Pelodiscus sinensis: one gene and its partners. The protein of the gene in region 2 interacts with the protein of the main gene of each other region in a biochemical or structural test. Links are inferred from orthologs where the notes say so. Each region holds a gene or a part of one and is shown on either strand. Other genes may lie near its edges. The genes, in order: CDK6, RB1, CCAAT/enhancer-binding protein beta and UBTF.

Evidence for each region.
Region 1: of the proteins of RB1 (region 2) and CDK6, one has a biochemical effect on the other in vitro, tested with the Homo sapiens proteins (9 studies listed by BioGRID and IntAct). The link is inferred for Pelodiscus sinensis from reciprocal best matches to the Homo sapiens genes RB1 and CDK6.
Region 3: the proteins of RB1 (region 2) and CCAAT/enhancer-binding protein beta form a complex in vitro, tested with the Homo sapiens proteins (2 studies listed by BioGRID, with this or other methods). The link is inferred for Pelodiscus sinensis from reciprocal best matches to the Homo sapiens genes RB1 and CEBPB.
Region 4: the proteins of RB1 (region 2) and UBTF form a complex in vitro, tested with the Homo sapiens proteins (2 studies listed by BioGRID). The link is inferred for Pelodiscus sinensis from reciprocal best matches to the Homo sapiens genes RB1 and UBTF.

What each region holds. Positions count from the first base shown.
Region 1 is NC_134712.1:213,392,765-213,399,965, reverse strand, and holds the start of CDK6 (cyclin-dependent kinase 6), read right to left. Parts: upstream 3,002-7,201; 5' UTR 2,503-3,001; intron 2,109-2,502; exon of another isoform or gene 1,959-2,108; intron 1,205-1,958; exon of another isoform or gene 1,070-1,204; intron 1-1,069. UniProt on the Homo sapiens protein: Serine/threonine-protein kinase involved in the control of the cell cycle and differentiation; promotes G1/S transition. Phosphorylates pRB/RB1 and NPM1.
Region 2 is NC_134711.1:288,849,382-288,856,725, reverse strand, and holds the start of RB1 (retinoblastoma-associated protein), read right to left. Parts: upstream 3,006-7,344; 5' UTR 2,808-3,005; coding exon 2,725-2,807; intron 1,760-2,724; coding exon 1,642-1,759; intron 1-1,641. UniProt on the Homo sapiens protein: Tumor suppressor that is a key regulator of the G1/S transition of the cell cycle. The hypophosphorylated form binds transcription regulators of the E2F family, preventing transcription of E2F-responsive genes.
Region 3 is NC_134728.1:19,311,942-19,318,784, forward strand, and holds the start of CCAAT/enhancer-binding protein beta, read right to left. Parts: upstream 3,016-6,843; 5' UTR 2,815-3,015; coding exon 1,834-2,814; 3' UTR 796-1,833; intron 1-795. UniProt on the Homo sapiens protein: Important transcription factor regulating the expression of genes involved in immune and inflammatory responses. Also plays a significant role in adipogenesis, as well as in the gluconeogenic pathway, liver regeneration, and hematopoiesis.
Region 4 is NC_134739.1:7,330,240-7,337,559, reverse strand, and holds the start of UBTF (nucleolar transcription factor 1), read right to left. Parts: upstream 3,008-7,320; 5' UTR 2,591-3,007; intron 2,564-2,590; exon of another isoform or gene 2,379-2,563; 5' UTR 2,121-2,378; intron 1,981-2,120; exon of another isoform or gene 1,802-1,980; intron 1-1,801. UniProt on the Homo sapiens protein: Recognizes the ribosomal RNA gene promoter and activates transcription mediated by RNA polymerase I (Pol I) through cooperative interactions with the transcription factor SL1/TIF-IB complex.

The DNA of each region.
Region 1 (7,201 bases), on a different chromosome or scaffold from region 2:
TTATTTGATGAGATGGATGTTTGAAGGATGCAATATGATGCAGAAAATGGGAGCAAGTGGAATGCTATAGGATTGCAAGGCATGAAAAGGACTATATGGTTACAGGGTTGGTACAAAGGGAGAGGAGGAGTAGCAAGTAAATGCCAAGTAAGGGTGGTACTCGCTCAGCGTTTGGAATGGGGGAATGGGACATAGTCCCAAGGCAGGAGGTACCAGTGCGGTGTTGGGAATGGGGGGACAATATGTCGGAGATGTGGGTTGGCTGAGCAGAGACCTATAGAAGAGGGTAGCAGGATGAGGATGGGCTGAGTCATAGCAGAGGAGATGAGAGTCCCAGGGAAGGGAGCAGCAGTTCAGTGTTGGAGATGGCTAGAGGGAAGAGTCCAGAGAAGAAGGGAGAAGGTCACTGATGGGAGTGGGTAGATCCCCAGGTGTGGGGGTAGGAGCTCAATGATATGGAGGGTGGGGGGAGGGAAGTGAGAATCCCAGGAGGGTTAGCAGGTCAATAACGGAAGGGGACTAGGTAAGGGGGTAGCAGGTCATGGGGGTCTGAGAAGAGTCCAGGAGTAGCAGGTCAGTGATGGGGGTGGGGAGAACTGCAGGTGAGGAGGTAGCAAGTCACTAATGGTGGGTCAAGAGGAGTCCAGGAGTGGGGGTAACAGATTAGTGATGGAGAGGAGAGCAGGGGAGGAGGGAGGAGTGCAGAAGTGGGGCTAGCAGGTTAGTGGTGGGGTCTGGGGAACAGTACAGGGAAGAGGGCAAGGAGTGTAGGGGAGGGGCTAGCAGGTTAGTGGTGGGAGTGAGGAGGACTGCAGGGGAGGGGATGGGAAGAAGTGTAGGCGGGGGCTAGCAGGTTAGTGGTAGGGTCTGGGGAAGAGTGCAGGGGAGAGGTTAGCGATGTGGGGAGGAGGTCAGGGAAGGGGCTAGCCGGTTACTGATGGGGAGGGAGGGGGGAGGGACTAACAGGTTAGTGATGGGGAGGTGTGCAGGGGAGGGGCTAGCAAGATAGTGAAGGGGGAGGGGTGCGGGGAGGGGCTAGCAGGTGAAATGCCCCCGCGGAGGGGCTCACCCCTGCTCCGGAGCAGCAGCTGCCTGACCCGCCGAAGGCAGGAAGGTGCCGCGCGGCCAGGCCGCTGCGTGCCGCGGGCGGAGCGGCTGCTCCGAGCCTCCCACGGCGCGCGCGTGTGAGGTCGGGGGGCCGGGCCTGGCCTCGCAGTGCGGCTCCGGCTCCAAGCGCCGGGGCCCGAGCTGTTCCTGCTGCGCCGCGGGGCCCTTCGCCTCGGCAACTGCTGCTCCAGGCAGAATCCGTGCCCCGGAGGAGCAGCCCCCGGCCCACCCCCGGACTGCCCGCGGGGGGAATCCCCCTACGGACACCCCAGACAGCCCGCGGGGCACGCCCCCACCCAGCCCTCCCACCAGGACAGCCCGCGGGGCACCCCCAGCCAATCCCCAACCGAGACAGCCCGCGGGGCACCCCCAGCCAATCCCCCCACCGGGACAGCCCGCGGGGCACCCCCAGCCAATCCCCCCACCGGGACAGCCCGCGGGGCACCCCCAGCCAATCCCCCCACCGAGACAGCCCGCGGGGCACCCCCAGCCAATCCCCCCACCGGGACAGCCCGCGGGGCACCCCCAGCCAATCCCCCCACCGGGACAGCCCGCGGGGCACCCCCAGCCAATCCCCCCACCAGGACAGCCCGCGGGGCACCCCCAGCCAATCCCCCCACCAGGACAGCCCGCGGGGCACCCCCAGCCAATCCCCCCATCAGGACAGCCCGCGGGGCACCCCTTAGCCAATGCCCCCAACAGGACAACCCGCGGGGGAACCCCCAACCAGTCTCCCCGTTAAGACAGCCCGCGGGGCACACCATCAACCCCCCCCGGACAGCGCGCGGGGGAATCCCGCAACCAGCCCCCCACCAGCCCTGAATGCCGAGAATCACCCTCTGGAAACATACGTTTTAGGACTGCGAGCCCGGGCAAGCCCCTCGCACGAATTCCCCAGCGAGGACGCTGCGGGATGGGGCCGGAGGACGGACAAAAGCACCCCCGAGGGAGAAGGCGTGCAGAGAGCCCCCTCCCCCCGACCAGCCCAATAGGGATGCATGCGGATGCATGCGGCGGCGGCGGCACAGGGGGACTGTCCCCACAAGAAGCGTGGGGGAGCCACCCACGGAAACACCCGAAAACAGGCGTGAAGCCCCCCCAGCCTCGTGCCCAGGGAACATGCACGGCGGTTCCCTGCCCCCATCCCCTACTAAGAACGCACACAGGCGAGGAAGGGGGGGGGAGGAAGGGGGGGGGGCGGCAGCAATTACACCCCTCCCGCCAGGGATGAACATCTTGGGGGGCCGGCCCCCCACAAAGCCCCAGATTCACAATCACGCCGCCTGAGGCAGAGAAGCCCCCCTTCGCCGCAAGCCACCCAGCGGGGAAGGGGGCCTGCGGAGCACTCGGCAGTAACACTAGACTAGAGGAAGCACATGGCCACTTCCAAATTACCTGGTCCGCTCCACGCTGCTCCGATCGCCGCACGAGCCCCAGATAATCTCCCGCTGGGGGAGGAGGGGGGGGTCACCTTCCTGGAGGCAAACCTCCCATTCGCTTCCCGCGAGCCAAGACCCGAACCGGGTAATAAATATTCACATGATGCTTCCAGCAGGTCTCTGCTGTAGCACCCCGGGCCACACAGGTAGCAACTGCGCCTCCTCGGCTCTACTGCTGCTGCCTTCCCCTCGCATCCTCCTGCAGCACCTTCCTGCCCAGGGAGCTTTAATTCAGATCAGCCTCGGCCCGCCACCCTCCCTCCTCCCCTCCCGCTTGGAAAAAAAAAAATTAAAAAAAAAAAAAAAAGCGTGACTCAAAGTCCCGCGTTTGCCAGGCTGCAGCGGATCAAAGTCCTGCAGGGCTCCCCCGTGTGCGGGGTTCGGAAACCAGCCCTCCACGCCGCCTTCTGCCGCTGCTTCTCTCTGTAGCCTCGCTCGGCTCCTGCTCTCTCTGAGAACAGCGGCGGCAGCACAGCTCGCAAGCCCCCCCCCCCCCCCTCAACTTTTTTTCCCCTTGCTTTCCCACGCTGGCTGAATGTGACTTGACCCCGTTTCAAAAAAGTTTGACATAGTGCTTTAACATTTCCGCATTCCTCCCCGACTACAAAGGCTGCAGCCGCCTCCTTCTGCTTTCTGTCTCTGCTCTCTGTCTTCACACTCAATGAAATCCTTCATGTGCCTCTGCCAAAGGCAGCCACATACCGCAAGGGTCGCCGCTAGCGCAACTGCCAGAGGCATGCACCCCGGGGGGGAAAGCGAGAGACATCATTAGGGAGCAAAAACCTTCGGAGGATTCTTATTTGCTCTGAGGCAGCGCCAAAGGACCCCCGGTCATAACTGGGGTACTGTTCTGCTAGGTGCTTTATAAGCACAATAATAATTATTTATGTTGCTGGAGCCCCTCAAAGGGCCCCATAGGCAACAGCGGTACGGACACCCAATAATAAATATTACTAAATGAAGCATGGCCCGGGCTTTATTATTATTTCGCTAAGCAATCACAATGTGTTTGACCTTGACAAGACAAAAACAAAGAGCAGTCCCTGCCCCCAAAGAGCTTACAGTGGAGAGGGGGAAATGAACGCTTAGTGCTGCCGGGAGCACTTTGTATAAAGCCGATTCCTACAAATATTGGAATTTGCTGCACAAGAATGCAGAAAACAGATGCCAAACTACTCTCTCAGGATTGGGAAACACATCTGGGATTCTTGATCTTCATTCCCCTCCCAGCTGATCCATTCCACCAAATTCTTGACAGAACCTCAAGGACAATTATGGAATTCAGTTACTAATGAGAATCAGTTCATGTGGCGCTTAAACCAGTTGGAACCCAAGATTGCTCACTTTTTTTTTTTTTTTTTTTGTGTGGAGATGGAGGATGGGCTAGCTGGAAAGACAACGGTACAACTATCATTCAGTTCATGGAGATAGTGCAGATGTCATCCTGTGATGAAGTTATTGACATTGAACACACTGCTATGCATTAATATATTTTATGTCCTGAAAATATCTCAGCACATATGGTTTTGTGTACATAATATTATATAATTAAAATACTTCAGTACAGAAAGACATTCACACAATTATTTTTTTTAAACGAACTTCACATGTCCTCTCAGCTGTCAGCTGAAATCAGGCTCGATGGAGCTGGTTCTACCACTCATTCCAAAAACGAGGGCAAATAAATTTCAAGGTTCCATCCTTGTTTCTGAACATTTAGAAGCCTCACTCTGACTGAAGCTACTGAGAAAAAAAATGCACATAACACCCCTGATTTCATTTGGGAGGAGAAATGGAATTTTGTGCCAAATAACTGGTACTTTTCTGCAAATAAAGTTTTATGTGCTGTGCACTAGAGTTTGCAGAAGTCCATGCATACATTGCAAGTTTTACAGGAACCAAATTTGTGTTCTTACTGTAGTGTATTAAATTAATAAACTGGAAATTCCCAAATGTTTTTGTTAAATTAAAGTGAAGATTGCTTGCTAAAGCAAGTGACAAAAATTGGTAGAACTACATATACCCAAAAAGTTAGTTAAAAATGTCAAAACTTTAGCATATATAAATAAGATAATCTGAATACAATTCAAATACATGCATATTAATACTTTTTCTAAAAATAATTCTAGACATGAACATTGATATCTCATCACATCTGCATGCCCATTGCCTTGGCTTATTGTTTCCATATTTTTAATATTTCAAGTTTTTGCACGCTAATATTTTTGTTTTCCTTTCCAACTTCAAAACTTTGGACCAGATTCATATACATAGGGCATAATCAACATCTCTGATTGTAACAGTATTCACTTTTGAGGATGGACAGGCAGCAGTATTTGCTTCTTGTCTTACTTAGTGGATTCCACATGGGAAAGGTAGCTTTAAATTCCAGCTGGGTTTTTCTTGGGATCTTATTGATAAAGACTGCCTGTGAGAGGCATTGAATCAGTTACATATACAACTTCATATTCAGCACATGCAGTGTGGGATAACTTTAAGCCCTTATGTTTTCCATTTTCAATGCAAGTTTTGTGTTCAAATTTGCAATTTTAACATTTTACCTTACTAAGTTTTGCACATCACAAAACCCATCCTCAAAGCTTTCTCTACAAAGATACTTAATAGAGAATATATTTGGTTGCTCTGTTTAGTATACATGTTTTGCCTGCATGAATTTATGATGGTCCAATACTAATGAGTGGGGAAGCCAGGAATAATATATGTTACTCATTCTTCTAAATAGATGCCAATAAACCCTCTATATCATACTATACAATTATGAATTTGCTATATTATACTTGGTTTTATAGGATTTTGAGGAATGTTTGAGAGCATTTTGAAAGTACTATGGGGTACTTTTTAATTGTGTGTGTGTATAACTTTCCACCTATAAGGCCAGCTGCTTGAGTTACCTTGAATCCTGCTGTGAAGTCTTCCCATGATACAAACACATCTCTAAAGTGAGGTTAAATAGATTTCATGAGCCTAAAAACTAAGTGATTTCAGGAAGAATTTCAAAATATATTTTGATATAAATAGTCAAGTAAAAATGGACAATATTGCAAAACAAATTGCAGCACAAAAAGCAACTACTTGTCCAAATTTGCAAAATTATTTGACGGTTTAAATCGTTAATAGATATAAAGTTATAAAGTAATTTCATATAACATGCTTTGTGGAAAAATTACGAACCAGCAAAACAGCATATATTTCCAGAAATAAAAATAATCCTGTTTAATTTTTTGCTTTTGAAAATATTACTAAAATATCTGCTTTTCCTTTTTCATGAGACATTTTACATTTCAGTGTTTCTGATTTCAAATATTTAAAAATGTATTGTTCGTCTCTCAAAATCAGGAAGCTTTATAATCCAGATAACAATACATTTCATATTCCTTTTTTAGTTTTAAATCTCTTCATTAATTTATATTACAAACACATCTGCATCCATTTTTGGGCACTGGTGTAGTGAAAGTTCATTAAATATTGTTGCTAAGAAACAAATTCAAAGAGTAGTTACTAAGTCTACTCAAATTATTACCAAAGTTTTTGTTGTACTGAAAAATTAGTTCGTGGGGTGCTCCTAAAAAGGAAGGAAAGAGAAAAAAAGAGAACTTTCTCCACATCTTACTTTTCTTTTAATCCATGAATATTTTATTTGTGAAACCCTATTTCTGAAAAACAACTTATATGGAAAGATATGTCAGTGGGGGCAATTTTCTTTTATTTTATTGATAATCAATATACATTAAAATATAATTAAATCACCTTAAAACTAAGACTTCAAAATCATATGTGCTGCTTTAAGGACTACAAAACACATTCATAAATGAGGTCTCTAAGGTTTTGCTGGAAGCAATGAAAAAGCTGATGATGTGACAATAGGTGACAAATAATTACTGGAATTAATATGCTCTTACAGCAGTTTATTTGAATAATCTGGCATCATGCAATACCATAGAAGTGCTATGAATAGTTTAAGACTCTCAGAAAGAAAGCTACATTGGCTTGTTTGGTGTTTTAACTGGTTCAGGGAACAGCTAAAATTTTATTGGGGATTCCAGAGCTTGGTGTTACAAGAAGTCCACATTCAAATCAGAGTGAAACTTGCACTTCAAAAGTACACATTTGAATAGAGGGTTTTGGAGAATAAGGTTCTCTGTTTAAACCGTTTCATACTGGTTTAGTTTTGTTTAGTCTGCATCTTCTATTTTAACTAATATGATATGGTTTTTAAACATGTAGTTAGGCATTAGTACTTAGAAAACCCCTTACATAGCTGAGAAACTATTATTTTGCCAGAATAGCCCCATATCAAGTGATGTGGTACAACAGATCATGTTTATTTGCAGCATCTTTTGGTAGTCAGATTTTATAATACATGAGCACAAATTGTAAAATCATGAGCAACATAACCTTTTGCAAGTGTAAAGAGGTTTGGTAAATAAAACACCTACTGTTTAAAATTATTATATATGCAGATATCCCCTAACTCAGTACTTTATCACAGATAATGTTGAACTCACATAATAAATTCTTAATTTAATAGTAACTGCGTTATACATTTGTGTGGGAAGTTGTATAACAAATAACAAACAATTTAAAAGCTACTTTTAAATGAAGTGTAGACATAAAGCAAAAATGTGGGGTTTTAG
Region 2 (7,344 bases):
GTTCTCCTCCTCTCCATCACTTACTACCCCTGGCCTTTATACTCTCTCAAGGTATGGCTACACTGCCGCCTTTCCCTCCCTCCCTCCCCCCCTTGATTTTTCTGTAGGAAGAGGTTTTCAACATTTGGCCTCTCTAGACTGGGCCAAATGTCAGGAAAAAGACCCTCTTTCAGAAGCCCCCTTATTCCTCTTGGAACAGGGAATATAGGGGTTGCTGAAAGAGCATATTTGCTCTTCGGCTAAAAAAAAGCAGAAGCACAAACATGTTCTGGATGCAGAAGAGTTTTTCTGGGATACCTCTGGTATCTCGGAAAAAAACTCCTGCAGTCTAGCCGTATTCACTGGGTCGAGACAGGAGCTGCAGTCTCTGAGGTGGGAATGAGGGATTTGGGTACGAGAAGGATGGGGAACCTGTTTTGAGTCAGGGGGTCACTGATCCACAGAAAAGTCAGTTGGGGCCACACAAGTGAGATGCAAAAAAAAAAAAAAAAAAAAAAAAACACACACACCACCACACACAAACCTTCTCCAAAACCCCCCAACCTCACTAATGTGGCCCCAACAGTGCTGGTGGGAGCTGAGGACATGGTATTGGGGAAGGATGCTAGAGACGGGGACAGGGTGACAGTGGGGGCTGAAGCAGGGGACAGGGTGCTAAGGCAGGGCACCAGTGGCTGATGGGACAGGTAGCAGGCTGTCAGTGGGTGCTGCAGCAGGGGACAGGGTGTTGGTGGTGGCAGGCAACAAGGAGTCCCTGGCACTCGCCTCCTCCAAGGACCCCTCCCCTTCGCAGGGAAAGCACGTCCCAGCACTCTGCCTCCCTCCAGGGACTCCTACCCCCTCCCTCTTGCAGGGGAAGCTCATCCCAGCACTCGCCTGCTCTAGAGACTTTTACATCCTCCCGCCTCCCCCACCCACTGCAGGGGGAGCTCATTCCAGCATACACCCTCCTCCAGGGACTCCTCCGCCCCCTTAGCCCCCCGCAGGAAGTCCCCAGCATGCCACAGACCTGGGTCTGGTACCGCACTAGCTGTTTGGGGGAGGGGGTGCAGCCAGCACACTTCCTGAAACCCCAGAAGTGGCACGCAGCTGCAGGACTCCTATCCACAATGGAGGTAGCACCGGCTTCCTGCAGGGTCACTGGAGATGGACAGTGGGGCTTCTTGAGGGTGGGGGAAAATGGGGAGGCCCCAAATGCCTCACAATTGATGGGTTAGTGACCACGGCTACAGAGGCAAGGTATATATAGTCTTGTGCAGGCCCTCATCTTCCGCACTTGGAGTGCCAGAGTGGGGAACAGCTATAACATGTGGTCTGGATGTGATTAGTCACATAGTGCTGGTTTAACTACCATTTAGAGTAAGTGTGAACTAAAGGGGTTTTTTTAATTGGCATATTTAGTGAAGGTGAGGTTATGCAAGTTAATCTACACAGATGTGTGTACACAGCAACCTTTGTACTTTTTGACCTTGATATAAACCTGCATCAGAATGATACCACTGTAGCATTTCCATTTTAAAATAACTTGCAATTTTTACCAATTTGCTTCTTGGCTAAGGCAACATGTTAGGCTAAGCACGGATCCAGAGCTCAGTATTTTAAATCAAGTCACTGTAAGCATTAACTCTACCAAGTACTCACTAAAGTTCCATCAGTAGGGGACATTTTTTCATACATCTTCCAAGCATTTGTTCTCACAATGTCTGATACTCTTAGTGTGTCACACAGTGCAATAAAGCCAGTTTCTCCAAACTCAAGCCTAAAAGAGAGTGAAATGGATGATTAACTATCAGGTTCATTTAAATGAAAATGTATCACATATGATTATAAAGTATAAAACATTAGCTAGAATGTGACATTTCTCTGGAGAAAACCCATCTTACTGAGCATCTGCATCCACATCTGATCCACAAACGTCAATGGCTATAAAGGAGATATTCAGTTGTACAGGTCTCTACTTATGACCCCAAGAACCAGGAATGGATTGAAGGAAGGTCAGTGACTAGCAGGGAACCAAAGAAATTGGTTTTACACTGGAATTTCTAATCTAAAACTCATACAATCCTGAAATGCTGAATGCATGCACATCGGATGTCATCTATCTGTAGCAGATAAAGCAGCACATTTTTGTCCTTTAAAGGTGAGCCCACTAGAGCAGACCTTGGAAAGCTTGGGAGCCAAAGAGCTGGAAGCAATCAGGAACCCAGGCAGGACCCTGCATTACCTTTCACATTTCTACTGCCTGAATCTTAACAGGCCAATCCTACGGTTCCATCAGCATAAAATGCTTAACCTCTGCTCGAGCCTCTCGTCAGTCAGAGCCAGGTCTTCGCTGTTACATCTCACACCGCGGTGAGTGTGCAGTTGGCCACAGCTGACAGGCCCCAGCACCAGCGAGGCTAAGGGAGCCTTTCGCCCAGCGGGCACCGCCGATTGGGCGGACACCAACGGGCTGTTTTTCCGGCCAAAGCAACCTCTGCCCACGCGAGCACCAGGGACCTACGGACCCGTCTTCAGCAGCGCCCAGTACCGTACCAGCCATCCCCCCCCAAGCCGGGCAGGCAGCCTCCCAGCCACCCCGCACAGGGATGCGCAACCAAGCGGCGAGGGCTTCCGCGTTCGCCAGAGCAGAGCTGCCCTCACCCGGGACGCTCCCGGAGCAGCAGAAAAGCGGTGCCGCGGGGGCTAGAGCCCGGGCTGGAGGAAGCGGCTGGCGACTCTCACCTGGCGGCAGCGGCAGGCGGAGGTGGCGGGGTACTGCCTCCCTTGGCGGCGGCTCCCCCCTTCCGGGGGGGCTTGGGCGGCATGTCGGTCGGGCGCGCGCAAGGGCGCGCGGAGCCGCAACTGTTGGGTCCGAAGTTTAAACGTGCACCGCAGAGGGGAGACGAGAAACGGACAAACCGGCTCCCAACAGCGACCACTCAAACCGCGGGAAAACACGTCACGTCCGCCCCGCCCACCGGGCGGAGCGTACGCGTCACTTCCCAGCCCACAACTCGCTTCAGAGAGGGGTGAAAGGGACAGGGAGCGTATTCAAAGGGGGTGGAGCCTGCGCACAGAATGAGGCTAAGAACCCGGAAGAGAAACTCGGAGTCTTGGCAACGGAGGCTTGAGCGCAAGCCCTTCGGCCAATCAAGTCACCCACTTCCCTTAGCCAATAGAAGAGCTGATGACTGTCGGGGCGGGGGCTCTCCCGGCTGCTGTTGCTGGTGGTGCCGAAGGGGCGGGGCTCAGCGGACCTGGTTTGTTGTTGTCAACAGTTTATTTTGCCAGTTACGTTCCTAGAAGCTATAGACGGTTCAGCTCCGTCTGCCTGGGAGCGGGGGCGAGCGGGAAGGGAGGGAGGAGCCAAGTGGCGTTGTAACCCACGCACCTGTGGGCTGAGCTGTCCTGTCCGACCACTTACAGGGAGAATTAGTTTGCTCTGCAGCCTTCCTGTAGGGTTGCCAGGTGTCCGGTTTTGAACGGGAGAGTCCAGTATTTGGGCCGTCTGTTTAAAAAACAAATTCAGAAAATATGAAAGTCTGGGGCTGGGTCTACACTGGTGCGATCTCGCACAAAAACTTGCTGCCTGTCTACACTGGCCGTGTGATCGCAAGTAAACTGATGGTCTAATGTAGGAAATCAGGGCTTCTTGCGCCAGAACTCTGACACTCCCGCTGGGGAAGAAGCCCTTTTGCGCAGCTGTTCTTGCACAAGAGGCCGGTGTAGACAGGCAACATGAATGTCTTGCGCAAGAAAGCCCTATGGTTAAAATGGCCATCAGAGCTTTCTTGCACAATAGAGCGTCTACACTGGCATGGATGCTCTTGCGCAAAAGCACATGGCAGTGTAGACTCTCTCTTCTGGAAGAGTTCTTGCGCAAGAAGCTCCCAGTGTAGACATAGTTTCTAAATAAGATGTAATGTTAATTTTGATGTAATTTCAAGTGTGTCTGGTATTTTTGTGGAAACCATCTGGCAACCCTACCTGAGAGCCAGCTGGGTTTTAGCTCACGCAGTAGAGAAGGGGTGGGGAACCTTTTTTGGGGTCAGGGGCTGCTGACCCAAAGGAAAAAAATCAGAGGGTGGGCACACACAAAAAGAAAACAAAAAGGGGCAAACTCTCATTGACTGGTCCCCAAACTGAGAAGAAGAAAGACACTCCCCACGTTCCCCTCACACACCAGAGCCTAGGGAGGCCCAGGTGAGTAGATTTTGTATGCTCCAGCTCCACTGTGGGGCAGCAGAGAGGCTGGAGTGCCACAATGGACTCCCCAATGCTGGGGGAGCTATGAGTCTCAAAGGCCCGATCCAGGCAAGCCATGGTCTGCATCCCACCCTTGGGCCTTAGATTCCCCAGCTCTGCACTAGAAGCTCATGCGCTAAACTACAGCAATCCCCGGTTTGGTTCCGCCTGTCCAGGTTACAGAGTTACACACACATGGAGGTGCCTGGAGTTTGAAACTCCAGAGGTTAGTGAACACTTGGGAGAAGTGATGTCTTTGATCAAAGTTCAAGACCAAGAGCTCTTCAAGTGAGGCATAGGTAGAGGTCACAGTACACTCTGCTGGGAGCCTAAAAAGTCCTCTAGCAGTAGCAGATCCAGAGGAGACCAATTTTTACATTCATGTTATTTTTAAAGTAAACAAGCAGAGGGGAAAAGAAACAAATATATTTATAAGGCACCCAGGTACCTTTGTGAATTTCCATGTCCTCCTATTCCTTGCCCTTGCTCTGCACTGCCTTTTCCCCCAACTAATGCAACCCAGGGGACAAGCAGGGCCAGGGTGCTGGCAGCTGGTGTCCAGCCCCCCCCCCACACACACCCCCAGTGGCTGGGAGTGGGGGGAGTGAAGCAACACTATCCCGGCTTGTTCTGCTGTCCCAGCATGTTGCTTGGAGAAGGGGCGGCATACCCTCACTTTCAGCAGTGGGAAGCAGAGCAAGCTAAAGCTGCATAACTCCGCTTCCCTGCCCCCACCACTGCTGGTGAATGCAGGGGGATTGGATCCCTGCTACTGGCATCATGCCCTCCCCTGCTAACTCCCCTGGATGCCCAGAGACTGGGCCCCAGGACCATCCCACCCCTTGTGTGAGGTGTACGTGCCCTCTCCTGGTTCCCTGAACGATACCCCTGTCTGAGGCAGACACCTGAAAAATTTCAACCTGAACAAGTAAGGTTTAGTAACATTAACAGCAACTGAAAATTGGGTCTTACAAGGAAGTTCTTAGGCAACCTTAACTGTGGGTAGTGCTACCAGCTCCATCTAGAATGTGTTCAAGTAACTTCAGTATTAAAGAAAATTCTAACTGCACATAAAGGACTAGATTCTGTAAACCATCCTTCAAACAGTGCAGGATGGTAGGTTGTTTTTTTTTTAAAATGTATGCAAAGGTTGGTTTTAACCCAACCTTGTTCTCGCTCTGTAGGTATGGCTGCTGTATGCTGGCCTGGAGCCACACTATCAATTAAGGGATAAAGGTCTGTGTTGTAGAGCTAAAGATTCCAGTCCAGCTGATGATCTATAGGGGGAGCTGGTATGATTTCATATAAAAGAATGTTTTTTATTTTAGTTTCTTCTTTAAAAGATCTAGGAAATTACATATACACACGCACATTAAAATAATGTTAATCTTGTATCTTGGGTATTGCTAAAGCAGGGTTCCTGTTGAAAACAGGGGTACCTGATCACATAATTAAAGGATTGTTTCATAATGCATATGCAGAAGGGGGCCAAATCAAATTGCATGGGCAGCTTTAATTCTACAGTTGACTTCCAATAATCCGGCACCTTTGGGATTTAGGTGGTGCCAGATTATCGGATATGCCGGAGTATCAGGAGGTACTGCATACTCCCAACCCAATCTCCCTACCTCCCCTCCCCCCCCAAATCATCTGGCTGGGACACCATGAGTAACCCGATCCTCCTCCCCTTAGCAGAACACTTCTGCTCCCTGCTATAACCCGATCCCACTCCCCCACCCCAACCTTACGATTGGTCAGATACAGCCAGCACATGTGCTAAGGGGCCAGCTTTTCCAGAAGCTGGCCAGGATGCCATAAGTAATCCAATTCCCCTCCCCTTCTTCTTAGAAAAACACTTCAGCTCCCTGCTGTGACCCAGGTAAGAGCAGCTGACCTGAGCAGTTCCGGTTCCATCAGAAGCGCTTGCCATTTTGATGCCGGACTATCGGGAGTGCTGGACAATCGGGTGCCTGACTATTGGAGTTTTACTGTATTATTTCTTAACTGTCCAATGCTTGCTTTTGTAATTTTAACTGAGTTTTTTTTAGTCCATATAAATATATATAGTACATGAGAAATTAATTAGTGATACACTTCTGCATTTTAGTTACCAGATTTAAACCTAGGCTGAAGGAGGGACAGATGACCATATGGCTAAACACTGGATTAGATCTCAAATAGCTGGGATACATTGTTGTCTCTGCCAAAGGCTTTCTGTGAGACACAGAGAAAGTCATTTAATTTCCCCTGCTTCAGTTCTCCATTTATAAAATCAGATAATATTTTCTCCCAACACTTTTCTCTGTCTAATTTAGGTAATGATATGTTCTAGAAAGCACTGACTCTTAATATGTTTATGAAACAATGCACTATGAGGATCCAATCTTAGTTAGGACCTGTAGATACTACCATAATACAGTTAATAAGTATTGAAATTGGTGAGTTAAAGGACAGATTTAATTGAATACTCTTTGAATGTCTTCTTTAGATAACTGAATTAATAGATTTTTAAGACCAGAAGAAATGATTGTGATCATCTAGTCTGACCTCTCTTATAAGTCATCCCCAAAATAATTCCTATTACCGTATATATCTTATGTAAACATTGTTGAGCAATCTCCATCACTGACAATACTTGGTACATTTTTCCAGTGTTAAAAATGTACACCTTATTTCCAGGTTGGCTGGAAGTTGAAACTAAAAAAATTCATTCATAAGAAGTGGGTACAAGAAGCAGGGGAAGGCATTGCCGTCCAAGACTGAGGCATGGCCCTGCCCACACTTGGCCTCCACAGCACCCCTGCTTCATTGCTGCTCTGGAGCTGCCCCCAGCTCCAGCCACGCAGAAGCTGTGATTGCATGCCACCTGTCTTCCCCCTGCTCTAGGACCAGGGGAGGGTTCACATGGCGGGCTGGAGGCCTGCCCTGTGGTGGGGCGAGGGCTTGACTGCTATTGGGTAGAGGGCTTGAGCAAAAGAAGCAAGGCTGGAGGCTTGACTCTCCAACCCAAGGTTCACTTACTACCCATGCAGCCATTGGCTTGTGTTAAACATTCTCCACTATACTCAGGAGCCCATTATTAAATATTTGTTCTCCATGTCAATACTTATCAATAGT
Region 3 (6,843 bases), on a different chromosome or scaffold from region 2:
CAACTCCCTCGTTATACTACATATTTTTGAGTAAAATCAATATCCGTAAACACCAAATTCAAGGCTGCTCCACACCCATTCCCAATCACTATCCTTTACAGTAAAGCATAAAACAAGTTCAGATCCATTACCATTAAGGAAACAGAACATTTGCATCCTACTGTAAAGTACAGCTATAGAAGGATTAAGAAAGTTCTTTCCTGGTAGTTTTTGACATCTGGATTTAGAAGATGGATGTGCATAGAGTCTGTCTAGTATGCTGGAAAATGCTGAATAAGACCTGAACATGTATCCAACTCCCAGCACGTAATCAGCTCTAGGCTGTAAAATAATATTTTACAGGCAGGTACACAAAAGCAAACTACAGAGAGCCAAGACATGTGCAACTCACAGACCTCGACAAATCCCACATCTGCTAGCAGAGCCTCTGTTATCTTTGTCACAAAGTCCTTAGGGCTCTATACATACATCCTCCTATACCCAACCTTTTACCCAAACCACACACCTGACCCATTCACTACCATCACCACCGCACTCACCTTTCAAGAACTCAACTGTATCAGCAGCATTTTTTAGAAACAGTTTTTAAAAAGAAGGCTCAGTAGGAAATTATAGGGAGCATTGTCCACACATTTCTCACTGAGCCTAGTTATGTGAGAGGTCCCCAGTTCACAGCCATCCAACACAAAAATGACATGTTATCACTGTTCATTGCTGTAAAACCCCCAGCATCAGAAATACTGAGTCATGAAACTGAGAGACTACAAAAACTTGAGCTTTAAAGAAAAATCCCACCTTATTTCAAGCTTTCTCCTTCTCTTTTTCTTTCCTCCAACCTCTCCCCTGCTTTAATCTTGTCCTTTGCTTGGAGAGACTTTGTCAAACATTTTTCATGGTTTGAATGGGGAGAGTTATTAGTATTTCAGAAAAACCCAAGCAGAATTTAACTCAAGGGGTTAGAGGAAATTAAGTGAGGCAGCAAGAGGGAACTGGCTGTGGTTCCCACATCTGGTCTTCTCTGGTTCTCTCATTTTTTTTTCTTTTTTGCTGAGTCACAGAGAGAGTCAAAAGGCCAACAAAATGATTCCTGACACAGCCAGATCTAGCTGGCATTTGAACTGATTTCATTCTGGCGTTAAAGTGCCTTTAAAATAAAACAAGTTTCCTTTCTTTCTTTTTTCCTAGCCATAAAGTTTATTAAAATTGTTCATTAATGCTTCAAATGTAGCAAGAATGTCTATAGATCCCAAAATATACATATGTATTTTCGTATAGAAATAGAATTATTCTTTATAATAAAAAAAACCGCAGGAACATCTTTAACAGATTACTCAATCCATGACTGACAGTTACACGAGATTGCATCATGTGTACGCAGCATTCCCAGCCATGTTTAAAGGGTTGCATCATTCTCTGCTTTTTCTCTCGCTCTGTTTTAAATAACACGAACATTCAACAAACTCTGCACAGACAGAGGAAGGGGAAGGGTGCCTCGGTGGGGTTGTAACATTACAAAAAAATTACCATCGGCAACTGTCATTCCGCCACAAGATGCGGAGGGCCCTGGCGCCCGCCAGGGGAGTCCCCCTCCTAGGACCAACACTCAGGCTGCGGCGGAAGTTTCTTCCACCGGATTGCAAAGAAAAAAAAAAGACAAAAAAACAACAAACCAAACCTTTAAGTCTCTCCCCGTGTCTTCCCCAGCCCCGGTCCAATCTGTCCTCATAGAGGGGGGAAAGCAGCTACCAGACCGCCCCCTCCCCCATCCTTCCTCCCCAGTTTCTCCCCCTCCAACCCCAACCACTGCGGCTCTAGCAGTGTCCAGCGCAGGGGCTAGCAGTGGCCCGACGTGGCCAGCAGGGGCTCGGGCAGCTGTTTGAACAAGTTCCTGAGGGTGCTCAGCTCCCGGGAGAGCTGCTCCACTTTCTTTTGCAGCCGCTCGTTCTCGGCGGTCAGTTCCAAGACTTTGTGCTGCGTCTCCAGGTTGCGCATTTTGGCTTTGTCCCGGCTCTTGCGCACCGCGATGTTGTTCCGCTCCCGGCGAAGCTTGTACTCCTCGCTGTGCTTGTCCACGCTCTTCTTGCTCTTGTTCTTGGAGCCCAGCGGCCCGGCGTAGCCCGCTCCGCCGCCGGACTTGGAGGAATCGGACGGGTTGGGGGTGCCGGGGGGGCTGGAAGAGGACGAGGTGGACAGGTTGCCGCTGCTGCCGTTTGGCACCGACTGGTAACCGAGGTAGGAGCGCATGGTGCTGCCGTAAGGGGAGGACATGCCCCCTGCGCCCGGCCTGGCGCCCCCTTCTTCCTTCAGGGACCCTTTGCAAGAGTCCAGGGACTCGAAGACCGGCTCCACTTTGGTCTCCACGATCTGGGACGGGAAGCAGGGCAGCAGCCCGCCCGGCTTATGGGCCTGGCCGGCGCCCGGATGGCAGTGCCTGGCCAGGCTGATGTAGGTGAAGTCGGGCTTCTTGCCGCCGCCTTTATAGTCCTCGGCGAAGAGGTCGGAGAGGAAATCTTGGCTGGCGCCGCTGCTGCAGGGAGGCTCAAAGTTGCCCCCTGCTGCTGCTGCAGGCGGAGGCTGCGGCGGCGGCGCCTGGGATGCTGCTAAGGGGTCCAGGTAAGGGCTGAAGTCGATGGCTCTCTCGTGGTCCCCTACGGTGAGCTCGGTCATGGAGCGGCCCCCTGCCGCCCGCGGGTGCAGCTTGCTCAGCGCAGCCAGACAGTCCGCCTCGTAGTAGAAATTAGCTACTTCCATGGATTTAAAGGCGGGTGGCTGGATAGGGAGGCATGCTGGGTCCCAGGCCACCAGGCGTTGCATGAAAGCAAAGGGGAGTGCAGGGAGGAGGAGACAGCGCAGGGGGCCCCCCAGCCGCGGGATCAAGCTGCCGAAGGTGATGCGGGGGCCTCCAAATCCTGCCTCGGTCTCTGGGCTGTGCTGCCCACCTGGGCTGGCTCAGATCCGGCGGCGGCTGCTTCTCTTTCTCCGGACCATCTGGTTCTAGGTCCGAGTCCTAAAGTCTCTGACTTAGGAAAGTTCCTTTGCTGTTATTTATAGGGGCGGTGGATCCCATGGCAACAGGGACGTCACTGGCTGGCTGGCTGCCACATGGTGCACACTTTGTACAGTTGTACCGAGTGCCTCTCGCTCCGCAGGAGGCACTTGGCGTGTGGGACTCTGACCTCGTCATTCACCGGGGAAGCAGGGCAGGCGTCGCAGCCGAGGGGGCTCGTTTTCACCCTCAAGGAAGGGAGGGAAGATTTGGGCCAGAGACAGGGAAAACCGCCTTATACTTTTGCCAGCTGCTGTCACATCTACAGGCGATGTCACTGGACTATAATCACTCCTGATGGGACCTTCCGACATGGACACAGTAGCTCACACAGGGGGACGTTGCATCTGCCCATGTATCAATATGGACTAAACCCTTTTGCCCCTCTCCTCCCATCTAATATGTCCTCAGAGAGGAGGGGGAAAAGCAGATACCAGATTCCCTTCCCCCCCATCCTTCTTCCCCAGATTTCAGCCTCTTTCCCCTGCTTCCCCAATGCAAACCACTGGGTGTCCAGCTGTGGGACTAGCAAATGGCCAGATGTGGCTAGCAAAGGCCAGTAGGAGCTGGATCCATTGCATCTAAGGCTTATGATATCTGTAGATTTCGTCTGTAGGTCTCAACCTGTTTTACTGAGGTGGGTGAGTGTCTGTATCCCCATTTTACATACGGGGAAATTAAGGCACAGAGGTTAAGGGATTTGCCCAAGATAACTTAGCAAATCAGAGGTAGAGCCAGGAATAGAAGCCAGATCTTAATACCAATTCAATGCTCTGTGAATTTTATGGAGCTGGCAAGCAGAATTATCCCATACAGACACATTCAGAACTAGCTTGCCACAGTGGGTGTAAAAAGCATGTGGTATTGGGCGCAAACCAGGGTAAGGCACTGCCTCAGAAGAAGACCAGCAATTAGAAATGGTAGGCAAATCCAAAACTCCCCCATCACCTCTGTGTGCAGGGCTGACGGCCTTAATGTTTGGCCTGGCGTGTTTGCCTTATGTAGTATGTTGCAATTGTCAGAGTACACAAGTGATATGGAGTTTGTGCTCTTGCAGCTGTCTTTAAAATAAACGGGGGAAAGTGAGATATATTTGTGTCAAGGGACAGGATGCAATGATTTATTAATATATTAATGTATAAAGTAGCATTGACTTGGAGAGGCAATGGTAAATTTGTAAGAATACATTTTTATGCCTATTTTAATTAAAGACACCCACTTTGGGAATCAAACTTGCATTTTCCCTGTTACTCCCACATTTAAGGAACTGTATTTAAAATAAATGGGGGAAAGTGAGATATATTTGTGTCAAGGGACAGGATGCAATGATTTATTAATATATTAATGTATACAGTAGCATTGATTTGGAGAGGCCATGGTAAATTTGTAAGAATAAATTTTTATGCCTATTTTAATTAAAGATACCCACTTTGGGAATCAAACTTACATTTTCCCTGTTACTCCCACATTTACCTGTATACAAGCTGGTGATTCATGCTCAGAATAAAAGACATCAATTTAAAACAAAACATATAATTAAAGGAAGTAGGAGTGTCCTTCATTTCAGTAAAGAAGACCCAGTACTGCAGAGAAAATGACACTGCCTCATAGAATAATGTGAAGCAATCCTGCGGTGTGGGAAATATTGCAACGTTAAGCCAGAGGAACAGGTATTGCATTATACAATTCAAACAGTCAACTGTTCATGAATGTTCAAACCTCAGACTTTGAAAAGAGGAAGAATTCAAAAATCATGCTATGAACCATTTTCTTTCTTTCTTTCTTTCTTTCTTTCTTTCTTTCTTTCTTTCTTTCTTTCTTTCTTTCTTTCTTTCTTTCTTTCTTTCTTTCTTTCTTTCTTTCTTTCTTTCTTTCTTTCTTTCTTTCTTTCTTTCTTTCTTTCAACTTCAATAGCAAAGGTACACTAAAAGGTTTGTAGACTTCCAATATTTCTGTCTTTATGCAGTAGTTTTTGGTGAATTACATTTACTAATAAGCACATTTAGGGTATGTCTACACTGCGGGGGGTTTCTGGGATACCTCAGAAAAACTCTGCCACGTCCGAGGAATGTGTTTGCTCTTCCACCTTCTTTTGCAGAAGAGCAAATGCTCTCTTTCAGGGAACCCTGAATACCTCGTTCTATAAGGGATAAGGGATCCACCAAAAGAGGAGGCTTTTCTACCATTTGGCCCCATCTGGACTGGGCCAAATGGCAGAAAAGCCGCTTCCGGAAAAGTGATCGGAAAAAAAATTGCGTAGCTTTTTCCAACAAAGGACTGTAGTCTAGACCTAGCCTTAGTTGTAGAGCCGAGCTTGGACAAAGAATCCTGGATTCAGGTCTGGATCTGAATGTTGTGACTTGAGCCTATATCTGTATAGATCCAAACATCTCTACACAATGGAAATATTGGTAAGTTGCAGTGAGCCAGGGCTGCTTTTATGGTTATTTATATTCACATTCTGTGTTTTCATGCTCTTCAGGAGTTTTTGCTCTAGAAAGCTGTTCTATGCAGGTATTGAGAAGTAGATGCTCCTATTAGAGGGTGCTGAGCTCTGGTTTTTTCTCCAAGATGAAAGTGAAAGTTGCAGCACTTTTTATTAAGGCTCATCCAAAAAAGTTTTTGAAAACATTTTTGAAAGAAAACTGGGTTACTGACAAGAAGACATTTTTTGAAGTAAATGTCTGCTTGTTTAGAATATTTTTTGTTGTGGGGATGGGGAAGGCCTGAATTTTATTCTTTTTTTTTTTTTTTGTTCAAAATAAGTCATTTTTGAGAGAAGAAAGAAAGAAAGAAAGAAAGAAAGAAAGAAAGAAAGAAAGAAAGAAAGAAAGAATGACCCCCAATTCCCAACCAGCTATTTCTAATGCAATAAAACACAAGTTCTCACTGCTTTGTTTGAAGAAGATGGATGCAAACAGCGAAAGAGTGAAACAAAATGAATATAAAAGAAAAAAGACAAAGAGAACACAGCCTATTCCGATCTGTTTTACAGAGATCACTCTGGCTACGTCTACACTGGCACCCTTTTCCGGAAATGCTTAAAACGGAACAGTTTTCCATTATAAGTCTTTCCGGGAAAAGCGTGTCTACATTGGCAGGATGCTTTTCCGGAAAAGCACTTTTTCTGGAAAAGTGTCCGTGCTAATGTAGACGCGCTTTTCCGCAAAAAAGCCCCGATTGTCATTTTCGCGATCGGGGCTTTTTTGTGGAAAAGAAATCTGTGCTATCTACACTGACCCTTTTCTGGAACAGTTTTCCAGAAAAGGACTTTTGCCCGAACGGGAGAAGCATGGTTTTTCTGGAAAAGCACTGATGATTTTACAGTAGATCGTCAGTGCTTTTCCGGAAATTCAAGGGGCCAGTGTAGACAGCTGGCAAATTATTCCGGAACAGCGGCTGATTTTCCAGAATAAGTGGCCAGTGTAGACACAGCCTCTGGTTTTCCCAGCCTATCTTGGATTCTGCTCCCTGATTCACAGCTCTACTGTAGCATCACAGGAGCACCTGGTTTCCCAAGCTCAGATCCATGTTTTCCCAAGCTCAGATCCATGCCAAAGCATTGCAGAAACTTTTCACTCAGAGACTTGCTCTATCTTGATTTACAGTGGTTCCAAGATCTCCAATTCTGCATTCCCATATCTTTCTACAGTCCAGAAAGAGCTGCTGTCAGCGTTGGACAGACCACAACTGTATAATGCCAACAGATCAAAGAGTGAAGAGTTCATAGGAAGTTCTGCCTACCAAAATGTCACTATTTACTGCTCTGTAGTAAGAGTCGGACTGCATTTGTATAA
Region 4 (7,320 bases), on a different chromosome or scaffold from region 2:
GAGGGAGGGGCAGGCTCGGATGGCGGGGGGGGGGGGGGGCAGATCTCCGAGAGAGGGAGGGGCAGGCTCGGATGGCAGGGGGGGGCAGATCCCCAGACGGGGGGAGGGGCAGGCCCGGATGGCGGGGGGGGGGGGGGCAGATCCCCGGGCAGGGGGAGGAGCAGGCCCGGATGGCAGGGGGGGGGCAGATCCCCGGGCGGGGGGGGGGGCAGATCCCCGGGCGGGGGGGGGGGCAGGACCGGATGGCAGGGGGGGGCAGATCCCCGGGCGGGGGGAGGAGCAGGCCCGGATGGCAGGGGGGGGCAGATCCCCGGGCGGGGGGAGGGGCAGGCCCGGATGGCGGGGGGGGGGGCAGATCCCCGGGCGGGGGGAGGAGCAGGCCCGGATGGCGGGGGGGGGGCAGATCCCCGGGCGGGGGGAGGAGCAGGCCCGGATGGCGGGGGGGGGGGGCAGATCCCCGGGCGGGGGGAGGGGCAGGCCCGGATGGCGGGGGGGGGGCAGATCCCCGGGCGGGGGGAGGAGCAGGCCCGGATGGCGGGGGGGGGGCAGATCCCCGGGCGGGGGGAGGAGCAGGCCCGGATGGCGGGGGGGGGCAGATCCCCGGGCGGGGGGAGGGGCAGGCCCGGATGGCGGGGGGGGCAGATCCCCGGGCGGGGGGAGGGGCAGGCCCGGACGGCGGGGGGAGGGATCCCCACGTGCCCTGCGCAGCCCCTGCCCAAACGCAGCTCAGGCCAGCGCCAGTCTCCTCCTCTTCCACCAGGCAGCGGCAGCCGGGCGGGACCGACGCGCCAGCAGCTGCCGCTGCGCCGCCCTCCCCCACCCCCTCCGGGGAGAGCAGGCGGCCTCCTCCGCCGGGCGCCGCGGCGACTCCCCCGCCCGCCCGCCCGGCGCCGCGCGGACCGCGCCGGCCCCCGCCTCGCCCCGGCGGGCAGACCCCGGGGGCGCCCGGCGCCGCGCGGCCCCCCGGAGGCTCGGGCCCTCCGGGGCCCCCGCACCTCGCCACCCTCCCCGGCCGCCCGGTTACCGGGCCCGTCGGGCAGACACTGGCCGGCTCCGCCCGCCCCGCCGCCGCCCAGCCCGGCTGCAGCCAGCGCGCCGCGGAAGCCGCCCGCCGGACCCACCTCCAGGGCAGGGGGAGGGGGCAGGACTCGCCGCCGCGGCAGCCGCAGCCTCGCCGGAGCCGCGGGGGGAAGGGGCGGAGGCGGCGGCGGGGGGCGTCGGGGCCGCCGCAGCGCGCAGAGCCGGGCGAGGGCAGCGCGTCCTCTCCCCGCACCGACCCCCGGGGAGCGCGGCCCGGCCCAGAACCACCCAGCCCAGCGGGGGGCCGGAGCCCCGCGGCCGCCGGGGAGGGGAGCCAGCCTGGGCACGCACCCGCCCGACGGCGACCGCCCCAGCTCCGGAGGGGAACGGGGTGGGTGGATGGGGGGGGTGGGGGGGACAACCGCCCGGCCCCGGGAGCCCACCCCCGAAATCCCGCCGCGGCTGCCCGGCCGGGGCCACGCTGCTACCTCGTGCAGTCCCCCCTTCCGCGCGGCGGCGGCTGCGCCCCCTTCCCTGCCGCCGCGGCTCCGGGGGGTCCGGTTCTGCAGCAGCTCGGGAGCCGCTTTGTACGCGCCTATCCCCGGCGGGCCGAGGCTCCCGGAGCCGCCGCTTCCTGCCTGGCGAGCCGCGGGGCCTTGCCCGGGCTGCGAGCGCGTGGAAAATCCAACCCCGCGCCGCCCGCCCCGAAATCTCCCCGCGCTACCCCCCAAAAAAGCCCCCCGATCCCCGCTGCCTGCTCCCCCGAGCGCCTTCCCCTCACCGAGTAAGCCGGGCGGCCGCCGAGTCTGCAACCGGGGGGAAGCAGCAGCAGCTGCTGCAGCCAACCACCACCGGAGCCTGTGGAGGAAACAAAGCGCCTCCTCCAGCCCCAGATGGCGAACCAGAGCGTCGGCTAATGGCGAGCTCCACATGCGCTCCTGCTGCAGCAAAGCAGCCCGGTGCAGCCAGCGTAGCCTCGGATCGTGCCTTCTCCCCCCTCCCCCTGATCCTTCTCCCACCCACCCTCCCTTGCAACAGGGGGCTGCATCGGGCGCGTTTACTGCTGGAGGTCTCGGGTCTTTTTTTCGAAATGCACCTACCTGCAAACCAGCCAGGCTGGAGAAGGCGCTTGGGGACGGCTTTTTTTGGGTGCTTTAGCTGGGGAGCGCTGGTTGAATGCTAGCCAGCTCTGCAGCGCTGGCCCCGGGCGTGGACTCGCTCCAGTCCCCGCAGAGAGATTGCACTTCCCCCGCCTCCATCTCTCTGCTTTTTTCTTCCAATCAGCCGGGCTCTTTTCGCTCCTGGATCCTTAGCCAACCTCACAGCCCTTCACAAGTCTCCACTTTTCCATCTGCTCCCTAAACGGAATTGTCAGAGAAATCGGTCTCGTCTCTTTTCACTCTCTTCTGGCTCTTACGGGATTGTGTGTCTGTCTCTCTCTGACTCTCTCGCTCTCTCTCTGTGCGTGTTTATTGCTCTTTGCTTTTGCAACACTGTAGCCAAAAGAAGAGAAGAGGAGGAGGAGGAGGGAGAGACAGGGAAAGAGAAGGAGGAAAAAAAAAAAGCTTACATTTGCAACAATCCTCTTCTGACGTTTGCACCAAAAATTCACATGGTCGATTTCCTACAACCCACCTCGAATAGCACGAAAAAAAATAAGTTTTTTTTTAAAGTTCCACCTATGCACAAAAATAAAATTCAGATTTTCTTTGTCAAGTTCCGAGAGCGGGGACAGACATTTGCACCAACGCAAAAGAAGGAACCTGAACTACACTGCAAGTGGCTGCCTTGTAAACAGGCTCTCGGGGAAGAAGGAGACGGGGAAAAAAATGGGGAGTTTTGTTGTGTGTCTCTTGCACCAGGAAATGCACAAACAGGTCGAGAGTGAAATTCACACTTTCCTCCCGGACTGCGTGAACCGCTGGATTTGTTAACGATACCGTGAAATTGACACTCTTGGATATTTCAAAGCCGGAGGGGGCTGGGTGAAGGGAGAGTTTTTCCATTTCCTCCCCCCCCCCTCAATTTTTTTTAATCTAATTTTTCCAACTCCACCTTTGTTGTTATGGGCGTCATCTGCTGCTAGCCAATCCCCTGTCTGGGATCTGCCTGTCAAATTAATGGCAATCCCAATAAGCAAGCGGCTTCTACAGACCAAAAAAAAAAAAAAAAGCAATTAAGTGTTATGAGCTCTCTTGGGGGGGAAGAGTGGGAGGACCTGCTCTAAGGCCTATACATGTGAGACCAGGAGGGTGCTGCATGGTTTGGCTTTGGCTGTCAATGCAGGGATTCCCATAACACTGTGTGCAAATGCTTGCCTGCCTTGTTGCATTAGATATGTATCAGGCACCAGGGATATTTTTTTATATATGGAGAAATGTAAAGGGGTTGTCAGACAGCACTGCTGAGTGTATACATGGTTTTGTTACCACAGATTAATGCAGATTAGTTTAAACATGCTGGTAATGAAGTGGGAGCTAGAGTACTAAGCCAGAGACAACATGAGTGAGGTAATATCTTTTATTAGATCTGTTGGTTTAAAGTACATGCTTTTGAGTTACACACAGCTCTTCAGGTCTGGGGAAGGAACCAAAATATAAACAGTATCTTTAGGCCTTGTCTACACTAAGGAATTTGGAATAAAAGTCTTATCTTTGTTAACATGGGGGGGTGGATAAAATTCTACAATTCTACATGGATTTCAGCCTTGTTCACTTCCTGCTCTAAAAACTCTGTCCTGTCACTGAGGTGTCTTAAACAGATACCCCTGTTTCACCTAGGGGCTAGTAGCTTTTCAAAGTGATCCTTCTCTGTGAAAACCTTAAAAATGTACCTCTTGTCTTTTCCACATAAGATGAGTCAAAAATGTTAAGGAGGGTGAAGGCCTACCCCTTTCATTCTGGATACAAGCTGTGTGCACACGCAATAATTCTGCTGTGTTGTTTTTGTGGGCATATAGATGATCCTAATGCTGGGCTGAAGGTGATCTTCCCGTTCCATGGTAGGTTTGGAACCTTAAAAAAAATTCCTACAAATAGGTAGGAAAGGTCAAAAAGCTCAAATGTCCTTAAACGAAAATAATCTGAAAAAAAAAATTGGATCAAGTAAATTAAAACATTTGGTTTCAATTTAGATCTTTTTTAGCTTTTAATTTTTTTTAACTATGACTCAACATTTCTCACTGAGAAATTGTTTGGAAACAAAATGGAACCTTTGCATTGAGAAGTTGTCGAAACTGAACATTTTGTCAGTGTCTAAACTTTTTTCAAAAATGTTTGGAATCGCTTTCCCGACTACGCGGGCTTTGGGGCACGTTACATTCTTGTGCCTCTATTTCCTCTCCCAATCTTACCTGGTCATGTCTATTGAGATAGAGAGAATGCTTACTCTGAAGAGCTCAGTATGGGTGCATCTACACAGCACCCTTAGCTCAAAGTAAGCTACACAATTCGCGCTATGCAAATTGCATAGCTTATTTTGATGCTATTTCAAAATAGCTTATTTTGCAATTTGGTGCTGTCTACACAGTGCCAAATTTTGAAATAGCTCGCTATTCCAAAATTCCCCTTAACCCTCGCGGAATGAGGGTAACTGGGATGTTGGAATAAACCGCCTGTTATTTCGAAATCTATTTCAAAATAACTGGCTGCTTCAATAGACACAGAAGAGCTATTTCAGGATACTTCGGGTATCCTGAAATAGCTCCGCAGTGTAGATGTACCCTATGTGCTTATATTGTGCACAGCACAACAGGCCCCAATGTTCATGGGTGCCCTGAGGTGTGATTGTGAACATAAATATTTATCGCAGTATCTTTTGCAACCAGCTAGTGTGGTAGGCTGACTGGTAAAGATTGCTACTACTTGCTACTACTGATAAAGCATCTATTTGTGCACATGTAATATTAGAACATAAAAACAACCACAGACCAATATTCCATCTAGTCCAGGACCCTGTCTTCTGACAGAGGCTAAGGCCAGTTGCTTCTGAGGGAATGAAGAGAACAGGCAACCATCAACATTTCCAGCCCCTGGCATCTACTCCCAGCATTTGGCATTCAAAAGCTGGGGATGCTCTGATCCTAGTGTTGCATCCCTGACCATCGACACCAATATCCATTGCTGTATCTATTTCTTTTTTGAACTTGTATTGTTTTGCCCTTCACAACCTGCGGCAATGAGTTCCACAGGTCGACTGTGTGAAGAAGTACTTCCCTTTGTTTGTTTTAAACCTGCTGCCTATTACATTTTATTGGGTGACTCCCGGTTCTTGTGTCATGGGAAGGAGTAAATACCACTTCCCTCTTCACTTTTGTCCCACCAGTCAAGGTTTTATAGACCTCTACCACATTTCCCTCGCGTCATCTCTTTTCCCAAACTGAAAAATCCCAGGCTTTTCAATGTCTCCTCATGCAGATGTTGTTCAGATGCTAATCATTTTGGTTACCACGCTCTGCACTTTTAGGCTATGTCTACACTCGTGGCTTCTTGTGCGAGCAATATGCAAATGAGGCTAAGCGTGGAATATCGGAAAACACTACTGTGCTGTCTACACTGGCCCTTTTCCGGAACAGTTTTCCGGAAAAAGACTTTTGCCCGAACGGGAGCAGCATAGTTTTTCTGGAAAAGCACTGATGATTTTACATGAAATCGTCAGTGCTTTTTCGGAAATTCAAGCGGCCAGTGTAGACAGCTGGCAAGTTTTTCCGGAAAAGCGGCTGATTTTCCAGAAAAACTTGCCAGTGTAGACACAGCCTAGGAGTAAAGTCTGAGGGCTTGTCCATACCAAAACATTGTTCCTTTGGGCTATGTCTACACTGCCAGTTTTTGCGGCAGAAAATATACTAATGAGGGACTCATTTGCATGAGTCATGATCTCATTTGCATAATTTCTGCCGATCCATTTTTGCGCTAAGCGTTTTTGCACAAAAACAAAGTGTTTTCCCTTTTTGTGCAAAAACCCCTTTTTCCGCAAGATTGGTATACCTCCTTTTTTGAGGCATAAGGATCTTGCGGAAAAAGGGGTTTTTGCGCAAAAAGGAAACAACCACACTGCTTGTTTTTGTGCAAAAAGCCCTAGCGCAAAAACGGATCAGCAGAAAATACGCAAATGAGATTGCAATTCATGGAAATGAGTCCCTCATTCACATATTTTGTGCCGCAAAATCTGGCAGTGTAGACGTAGCCTTGGAAGACAATGCCTGTGCTTTTAGTAGGGACCCCACAGCAGTGTCCCAGCAGAGTACACTTATTGTAAGGACAAAAAACAAAAACAAAAGGCACAGAGAGGATAAGCACCAAACAAGACAAGTTCCTAGACGAGTTAGGAAACTTTTTTGGTTCAGAGGCCACACGCACAAGTGAGAAGCAAAACAAAAGAAAACAAAAACCAAAGATGTGGCCTTCACCTGAGAAAGAGAAAGACCCTCCCCACATTCCCCTCACACACCAGAGCTTAGAGGGGCCCAGGCTAGTAGATTTTGTGGGCGCTCCAGTCCTGTGGAGGCAGGGCTGGAGCCCAGCATATGCTCCCCAATCTGGGGAGAAGCCTTGAGCCTCGGCGGGGGGCCTTAGGTCCCCCACCCCGGTCCTAGAGGCTGTAGCCTTAGCCCAGGTTGGCATGAGTCTTATGGGATCCTAGCAAGCCAAAGACTTTCCAACCCTTCTTGCCTGTCTGCTGCATCAAAAGGGAATCCCTCCATCAGCTCAAGCCCAGCTCTTCAGACCGAAACACCTTTCTCGGTGGCTGCCACTGGAAAATCCAGTTTGGGCTCCCCAAGGAGTGGGGCTTCTGGGTACCGACCCCAGCCTGGAGTCTGGCCATGAACGTCTCTGCTACTTCAAGCTGTGTACACGCCACAAGGCAGGTCCCAACATTCTGGGGTCCAGTGCGCATACAAACTATGGGAAGTCCCGCCTCCGGGGTTTGACAGGCAGCAGCCCCATGGCTCCTGATTGGCTCCCGGACCTATTTAAACCTGGGAGGCGTTCCCAGAAGCATCCAGGTCATGTGGTTTGTCTGTAGCTGCTGTTCTGGTCTTGAACGCCTGGCTTTTGACTTTACCTCCTGACCCAGAGCCTGAAATCTGACCTGGTCCCTGGGTACCAACCCCAGCCTGGAGTCTGGCCATGAACTTCTCTCCTATTCCAAGCCTCAGGTTTGTCCCTCCTCTGACCCTGGACCCTGAGGGTCCTAGTGAAGATGCTGACAGTAATTACCCCGTTGTACTGAGCACCTGGAAGTCCTCCTCCATGGAGCAGAACACAATCCTACAGAAACGATTATAAATGTAACCCCCCA